Linked DNA regions of Xenopus tropicalis. The protein of the gene in region 1 interacts with the protein of each later gene in a pairwise test. Links are inferred from orthologs where the notes say so. Each region holds a gene or a part of one and is shown in the gene's direction. Other genes may lie near its edges.

Region 1 (3,519 bases):
AGTCCATGTGTGGACCCCAAATAATCACCCGATATCTTTTGTACCATGGCAAGCGGTCATTTTATTCAATAATCCGTCATTGTATCAATAATAGAAAAAGACAACCTTTCAGATTAAGCTCTGTTTATTTGGTTGAAATAAGTTACTGGGCAGGTCTAATAGGGCAATGGCATTTAGCCATGGGGACCATATTGCCTCAGATTTCTGCAGGGAGTTCTTGCTATGTATGTCTGCTTGATTTAAAGGGAGTTTTTTATTAATGCAATCCATTCTGCCAGTGCGGGTGGGTCCATTTAATTATATATGGGATTTTTGGAGCACAGAAGATGACTGATCTCAATTCCTTGTGTGGTTCCAGGTAACCAATTCATCTACCACCCCTAAAAGACAGACAAATGAATACATATTTAAAGAGGGTTTAGGCCCTCACTGTGGGTAGGGTTCGTTATCCATTACACAACTCCAAACCTCTGGGAAAGAGAATTAATCCTGACATATAGACCCAGATCATAAAATGTGCCCTCTTCTATAATAAATGCATATGGATTTTTCTGGCTCAAACGGTTTCCTAATAATTAGTAATAATAGTGTTAAGCACCACTGAAGCAATTTTTTTTGTATTTGACTTCTGTTTTTGTATCGAGTAGCCTGAACTGTTGTATCTATATATAATGTATATGGTAGCCTTGCTATAAACTTTTTTTTTTTTTTTTTTTTTACAAAAAAAAAAAGCTAATCACGCTTTTCTTTTTAATAGTGTTGGAGAAGAAAGACAATCTTTATACATCACCATACCTGAGGTAAGACACTGAAATCTAAGCCTTTGGCTAAACTGTAGTTGTGAACATATACAGCATGTAGTTGCCTTTCTATAGGACCACTAGGCTGATGGAAGCCTCTTATCATAACTAAACCCCTAAAGTGCTACAGGCATTTCTAAACCTTTGGATTCATTGAATGCTTTCATAAAATGACATATAAGTCTTGGATTGGTTGGAAGCCTATGCCATCTGCACATACTTGGTTTTCCTACATCTCTAGGTAAGGAGTCCTCGTATGCAGTGCACAGCCCAGTCTTTGCTTCCATAGACCAGCTCTTCTATTTCAGTGTACCCTAACTTTTTGGGTGACTGATCGCCTAGCAGTGCGCCCCCCCCCCCACTCAGCTTGCAGGTAAGGCACGTGGCACTGTCTGCATTTTTACATATTTTGATTTATTTTCCCTTTTTACAGAAACAGTCTTCTGAGCAAGATTGCCATACAAAATGATGGCAGAGTCTCTGCCATTCTGTGGCCCCATGGCCACTTTGTCTGGGTGGGAGCTGGAATGTTGGTATGAAGATCTTCAAGACATCTTGTGGGCCGACACAAAGGACACTGGGAATTTGCTCCCTGTTTCAGAAGAGCAGGTTGGTGGTTTTATAAGTGACCAACTAATTTGTTTGCTCTCATTTTGTTGGTTGGCTATCTAGCATTAGACTGAGGGAAAAACATCAATGTCTGATGTCCGCAAATCTGCTGTCTGGGTTTTGGGATCACAACTAAACAGCATTTTAAGTTTTAGGTTGGCATTGCTATACATTAGCAGGGCAGATGGGGATTCTTTAACAATTGTTCTATTAGGGCCTGTTAAGCAAGCCTCACCCAAATCAAATCCCAGCATGACATTGGCTCTTTGAAAGCAAATTCTAACAAAGTAGAGCTGAGGTGTTAAGGAGGCCTGTGGCCATTCAGCCTTGAAGCCAGGGGCAGCCTGGGCATGACCACCATATTGGTCCAGGCTTCACTATTTGTAGCTGACCTCATGAATAGTACAGAACTCTCTGGAAAAAGTACTACTACACCCATTGGAACAAGATTGTACTGACGTTCCCTGCACCAAAGCTCATCACCTCTCCTCAACGCTCCTCAGCTTAGGTACTTTTATGTAAAGCATGCTGTTGCCATCTTTCAGCAAGGTTAGTGGTTAGAACCTTGGGGGTTCTGTTTGATCTGTCACACTGGCAGCATGTGGTGGGAAGAGTTCTAAGCAAAATGCCCTAATTGCTTAATTTACAGGTATTTTCTGGCCTACAATGCCTAATTTTTTTTTCTTTTTTTTAGGACTTACAGCAAATGGAAACTGTGGACCAATCTCCTTACTTGTGGACTATTGAGTCACCTTTGGTTATGGACAATGAGGATACTGATGCTTTAGAAGCTGCTGTACAACAGCTGCCTTCTGCTGTCTTGGAACTAATAAACTCAGAAATACAAGACAACTGTAAGCTCTCTGGTTCCCCAGTAAGTGATGATACTCCGCAGTCGGACGTGCCTGAGCTCGATTACTGCAGTAGCTCTTCAGTACATACCCACACAGAGGATGAGGAATCTTTTGCCAGCCAGCCACCATCAAAAAGAAAGAGAAGCAGTCAGTCACGAGGAGGAAAAGTACGTGTGAAAGAAAAGGAAGAGGAGAATGAAAAGAAAGTGTCCCATTTGTTAGCAGAAAATGAACGACTAAAGGGAGAGATTGAACGCCTAAGTAAGGAAGTGGAGCAGACTAGGAAGGCTTTAATAGACCGGATGGTGAACCTTAAAAAAGACTAAGACTCAAAATAAATCAGCAATTACTTGCTATGAGAACTATACTTTTATTTTAGGAAAGTAAACTTTGTAGAACTGCTGTGACTTTCAGCAGGTACTCTGTAAATACTGATGTAAGGAGTTACAGGTTAGTCCTTTATCTAGTCTGGAATGCATTGCGCTCTGTATATTGCATGGTTAATCTGCACGGTGTCTGTTTCCAAAACAATTTACACCATGTCCATTTAGCTATCCCCTGATATTAATCAAGTATTTTAATAAAACTAATATTGCATGTATTTTGGTTTTTATGTACTATTTAAGATCTGGTCCTTATTGATACAAATCTGCTTCAAAGTCCAAGCAGTGTCACTGGGGGGATATATTTGCTCACATGGGTTGGAGGCCATCAGGACACATGGCCAATTTTTGGCCTGATATCTGTTGGGTAGGTCTGTCTGAGGGCCCCATATATGGGCTGATAACTGCTGACCATCGCCAGCTTTTATTGACCCATGTATGACCACCTTTAATTCATTATACGCCAAAGTTGTTCTAGCATCCTTGGAAAGCACAACAGTGCAATTTCTTATTGCTTTCTGATTTTAAAATAAGATTTTTCATTAAGTATGACTTCTCAAATGTGTGCAATTCTTCTTCAGCTACATATTACATCTAATGAATATTACATCTATTTCTACAAAGGAGTGAAAATGACTGCTTTTTCAAACTGTAGCTGTGTTACAAGCTAAACATAAAATCCAGCCATGGACACAGCCAATGTGTGGGGGCCAAAAACTGGAAGTGATGTCACTGTGGCTCAGTTTGCTGTGACTGCCCCTAAAGGCTGTTTATGGATCACCCACATGGTTGGGACATCCCAATATTTTTTAGAAGTGTCCTGACTTTGTAGCTAATCCACAGGTACCTGACCCAACACAGGACACTAGTCAT
Region 2 (4,592 bases), on another chromosome or scaffold:
TTACCTTCAAGTCAGAAATTAAAAAATGAGCACCAGCTTTTAGACGACTGGGAGTAACATCAGAGGTGTTAGTGAGCAACATGTTGCTCATAAACCAATGGTTGGGGATCACTGGGTTAGGGGGAAACAATAGTTTTCCTTGAAAAAAAAAAAGCCCATTTCAGCGCTAGGCTAGCTGCACTGGGAGGCCATGGGCAGCCATGTTGTGACACACATGTACATAATAAGCAAGTGCCACAACTCATTATGCGCGTGGCTGTGATGTAGGAGGATGAGTTGTATTAACCGCTCCCATGTCAGGCGCATGAGCATACTGAGCAAGCGGGGAAATTCTGTCAATATGCACATGTGTGCCAAACAACTTGGCCACCCGCACCGGGCGTTCCCTCCGGCGGCAGCTATTTTTTTCCTAGAAAAACTATATAGGGGAAACAGGGATTGTCTTTCCATATATTGCAATATATTAAAGTCAAAGAAGCCTTCAATGGCACCCGATCAAAATCTTCTAAGCCGCCCGATCGGCGAGTCAACCGATATCAGCAGCCTCCTGCGATAACGGTCGCCTCACCGACTTGCCATACATGCAACAAATATTGTACGAAACAAGGTTTCGTATGATATTAACGGTGTGTCTATGGCCAGCTCTAGATGTCACTGTGATCCTCACAGTATACACGGTCCCTTAGACCGATTCGGCAGCTAACCGGCTCGTGTATGGGCACTACCGACAGGCCTGCCCGACCGATATCTAGCCTGAAATCGCCCAGATATCGATCGGGCAAGTTAAAAAATCTAGTCGGAACGGGGACCGCATCGGCTCGTTGATGCGGTCCCCAGACCGACTTTGCCTAAACCCGTTGTTATAATTCGATCGTTTGGCCCCAGGGTAGGTGGCCCACCCGTAGGTGGGGGATATCGGGAGAAGATCCGCTCGCTCCACCCACAGAACTTACAATTGTATTTAATATTACACAGCACAGGGCACTACTTTCTGGGGATAGGGCAGTCTGTTATGACAGGGGCAAGTGATGAGTAGAAACTGGACCATTATTGCACATATTTGGACAGAACCAGGAACAGACAGCTTACCAGATAAAAGCTGAACAGGTACCATCCCTGTTGGACTCAACGCTGGGCCTCAAAATGAAATATTAATATAAAAAAAATTGAAAACCACTAAATTAAGATCAAGTATAAAAATTCTAATTGATTTTAGACAATTGTTAAGTTCTCCATTAAATTTTAGTGTAACATGCTGATAAGATACGTCTCCATTAAGTAAATAGTTTGGCAGCACCCTGTATGATACAGTTCTGCAGAACACATACAGGTGAGGAGTGCAAACGAGGCTGTTCCAGGGACCTCATAGGGAAGGACAGCAACTTGTAACAATAAAGTTACATATGAAAAAGAAAAAAATGGACTTGGGATCTATGGGCGGGGCCGCTCACCACTTGCCAACGACGGATTGGCTGCCTCTGCTGCCTGTCGGGGGATTGCATCATGCTGCCCGAGAGAGGAAAGATCCGAGTGATTTCGCAACAATCTATTGTGCGGTTCGGATGATCCACAGCCCCGAGTGTCCGGAGGAGGAGTAACCTACGGATCCCTAGTGAGGACAGGGGAAACAAGTCGTGGGGGAGGGATAGGCTTCCCTCCCCGGGCAGGAGGACCTCGAAGCCATCAGGTAAATTGTACTGTACCGGAGTAGAAACGTCTCAGAACGGCTGCCTTTTACCTGGCACCCTGCAGGTGTTCGGCTGTATTTCCCTTCAGCGCTCACAGTGTCTGGGTGGTAGGGCATACTGGCATTTGTACCTAGAGACACCACTTCAGACACTTCATGGCAGTCGCATAACTCAGAGGGGAAGAAGTTGTAATTAAAAGTTGGGGTTCAGCCTTTAGTTGGGATACCATCGGCCTCCAGCTGTGGCAGGGCTTTCCTTCTGATGGGGGTTATGGGATTTGTAGTTCTGTAACAGCCTGAGCGTTACCCTTCTAATGCAAGAAGCATACGTACATCGCAAAGCCTTAAGTGCTAACTGTTACCGGAGGGCTGGCAGGGAGATGCCGCCCTGGGAATTGACATAGTTTGTGAGTGGCTTTGCGCTGATCCACACTCAGCCCACTGTCGCATCCGACTATATCGCACATGCAACAGTTGTGCTCTAAACCTTGACTATTCCGTAGGTTTAAAGTAACAGCTTTCGGTGGGTGCTGCTGGCCATCCCCCCATGTTGTCCTCCTGAAAAGTCTGACCCAGACTATTCTGTATTGCATAGCTTTGCCTGTGCACATAGGAACAAACTCATTCCTTATATCAGATATTTCCTATTATATGTGCTTTATAGGTGTGTGATGCTTTTAGAGAGTGGGGAGAGCCCTGGCGGATACTGGTAGGAGTACAAACTGTGTAGAGGGAGAAGCCCCTGCCTTAATGTGCTTTGTATTGTATGATGGACCATTAGCCACTATTCAAAAACAAACCGAATACTCACTGAACACTGCAATAGTGTATTTACTGAGCCTGTTATGCCAGGTGGGAAACTACCAGTTGTAATGGACATTGTGACAGCCAGTGATGGTTATGGCAGACCCCAGATCCCAAACAATTTGGTTTATAGTTCATGTGCCTAGCTGGGTGTTGATAGAGGGGATTTGGCCTTGAAAAAAATGGTATTGCTTATTATAGGCTGTCTTGTCTATTCAGAGTTATTGTTTTTCAACGGATTAAGAGTTCTATGGTTGCTAAGCAGTATATGTAAGGGATATTTTTTTATAATAACACCTAACAATGATTACTTAAAAGATAACTATACCCCCGGGTGCAAAAAGCCCCCTTAACTATCATTGCCTAGACGCCCTCACCTCGCAGTTGAGGTGGATTTCCTGCTACCTGCAACTGCACATGAGCAAGCAGGTTCATATCAGCGGAGAGACTTTCTGTGTATCTAACTGGTAGTGTAGAATATTGTATAGTTTCAGGAACTGATTTAACTTGCCTGTCTGCCTGGAGGTGCAGCCACATTCAGTTCACTACTTTCCAATGTAATTGATGGGATCATTAGTCAACCCAGTGTTCTCTTTGACCAGTATACTATGGTGAGAATACACTTGTGACTGAAGTACTAAATTGCAAATTTGGCCTGACTGCTTACAGTCTGAATGACCAAGATGTCTGAATAATTGTGGGCATACATGTTAAGATCTGCTTATTTGGCGAGGTCAGCAGATGATCATATCTTCTGCCAATATGCCCACCAAAGGTGGGCAATATCAAGCTAAATCAATAATTTTACCCTAGGGCCAAATGAATGCAGCCCACAATCCAATGGGAAAATCAAGCCTGCCGATTGACCACTGGACAATTTTCGGGCAGATATCATTTAGGAGGTTTGTCGGGGTGGGGGGCATACGCATGCAGATAAGCTGCCGAATCAAGTCGGCAGCTTAAATCTGTCCCTGGGCACCTTTAGTTAGCTTGTGTGTCCAGTGGTTGCAGGTTAACTTAGCTGCCTTAGAACAAGGAGAATCAGGATATGATGGTGACTTAACGCTTCAGTTAGTAAAAACAGTAATGGGCAGTCAATTATCAAGCCAATAATATTTAAAGTAAATGCTGTATATTCATTTACAGATAATCTTTAAGTTGTTTGTATGTTCACCCTGTGCTTGTGTAGGTTTCCTCCCAAGAATGACAATTCTACAAGCATTAAATAGTATAAAACCGGTAGGGAATTGAATAGAAAGACACTTAGCAAGCCCCCCATGAGATGAAGATCAGAGGCCAAGGTTGTGCCCGTAGCTTTCTTGTTGATATCTATAGTTTACCCTGTGTAGTGAGTTACATTGAATTCTAAACTTGGATTTGCTAGCAAGTTGATGGTGGCATGTACTGTGCAAGTGTGATCATGTTTAGCTGAATGCTGGGTGTCTCACTTACCTCATACAGAAAGTAAAACTATTCCAGAATAACCCATGACTGTTTCAGAGTTTCCATACTGCACTTTGTGCTTAGTATGACTCAGGATTTCAGGGCAAATGCTTAGTAGCGGAGAAAATTGTGCCATTCTGGCAGCAGCATTAGAAATGCCACAAACCTCACTGGATTCTAACTGATTCCTGAACTGACAGGGTTTCTGCTCCAGTCTTACATGTCGCATCATTCTCAGGAACTGTTAGTAAGGTGTGTGTTCCGCAAGCGTGTGCAGCCACACGTATTTAGTCACGTAGCTGTGAGCCACATTTCATTATATAAGTATCTTAAAGTGATACCGACACTAAAAAACTACTTTTCAAAATATTATTGTACCTAAAAAGTTACCTATAGGTCATGTTGATAATTTTTCACAGATAGGGCTGCTTTTTGTTACTTGAAGTTCCTAAACCTGACTGTTTAATCAACCTGACTGTCCCTTCTCAACCTGTTGGTTAAAGCTTATAATGCTAACAGACTACTGGAGTACAGATATGGCAGCCTCCTCATAGAGGAACATGGGGGATCAGATAGGTAATATAAAAGCACTGGGCAAATACTTTTAAGGCAAAATTATAAATAGCATGGAATGACAATGATAGATGTTAAAAAAGGT

What was found. The genes of interacting proteins can lie anywhere in the genome.
Region 2: the proteins of ddit3 (region 1) and cebpg interact in binary tests that used the Homo sapiens proteins (3 or more experiments, as listed by UniProt). The link is inferred for Xenopus tropicalis from reciprocal best matches to the Homo sapiens genes DDIT3 and CEBPG.

Annotation. Positions count from the first base shown.
Region 1 is NC_030678.2:140,580,745-140,584,263, reverse strand, and holds the end of ddit3 (DNA damage-inducible transcript 3 protein), read left to right. Parts: intron 1-757; 5' UTR 758-800; intron 801-1,233; 5' UTR 1,234-1,265; coding exon 1,266-1,409; intron 1,410-2,103; coding exon 2,104-2,589; 3' UTR 2,590-2,864; downstream 2,865-3,519. UniProt on the Homo sapiens protein: Multifunctional transcription factor in endoplasmic reticulum (ER) stress response. Plays an essential role in the response to a wide variety of cell stresses and induces cell cycle arrest and apoptosis in response to ER stress.
Region 2 is NC_030680.2:115,638,064-115,642,655, reverse strand, and holds the start of cebpg (CCAAT/enhancer-binding protein gamma), read left to right. Parts: upstream 1-1,564; 5' UTR 1,565-1,687; intron 1,688-4,592. UniProt on the Homo sapiens protein: Transcription factor that binds to the promoter and the enhancer regions of target genes. Binds to the enhancer element PRE-I (positive regulatory element-I) of the IL-4 gene. Binds to the promoter and the enhancer of the immunoglobulin heavy chain.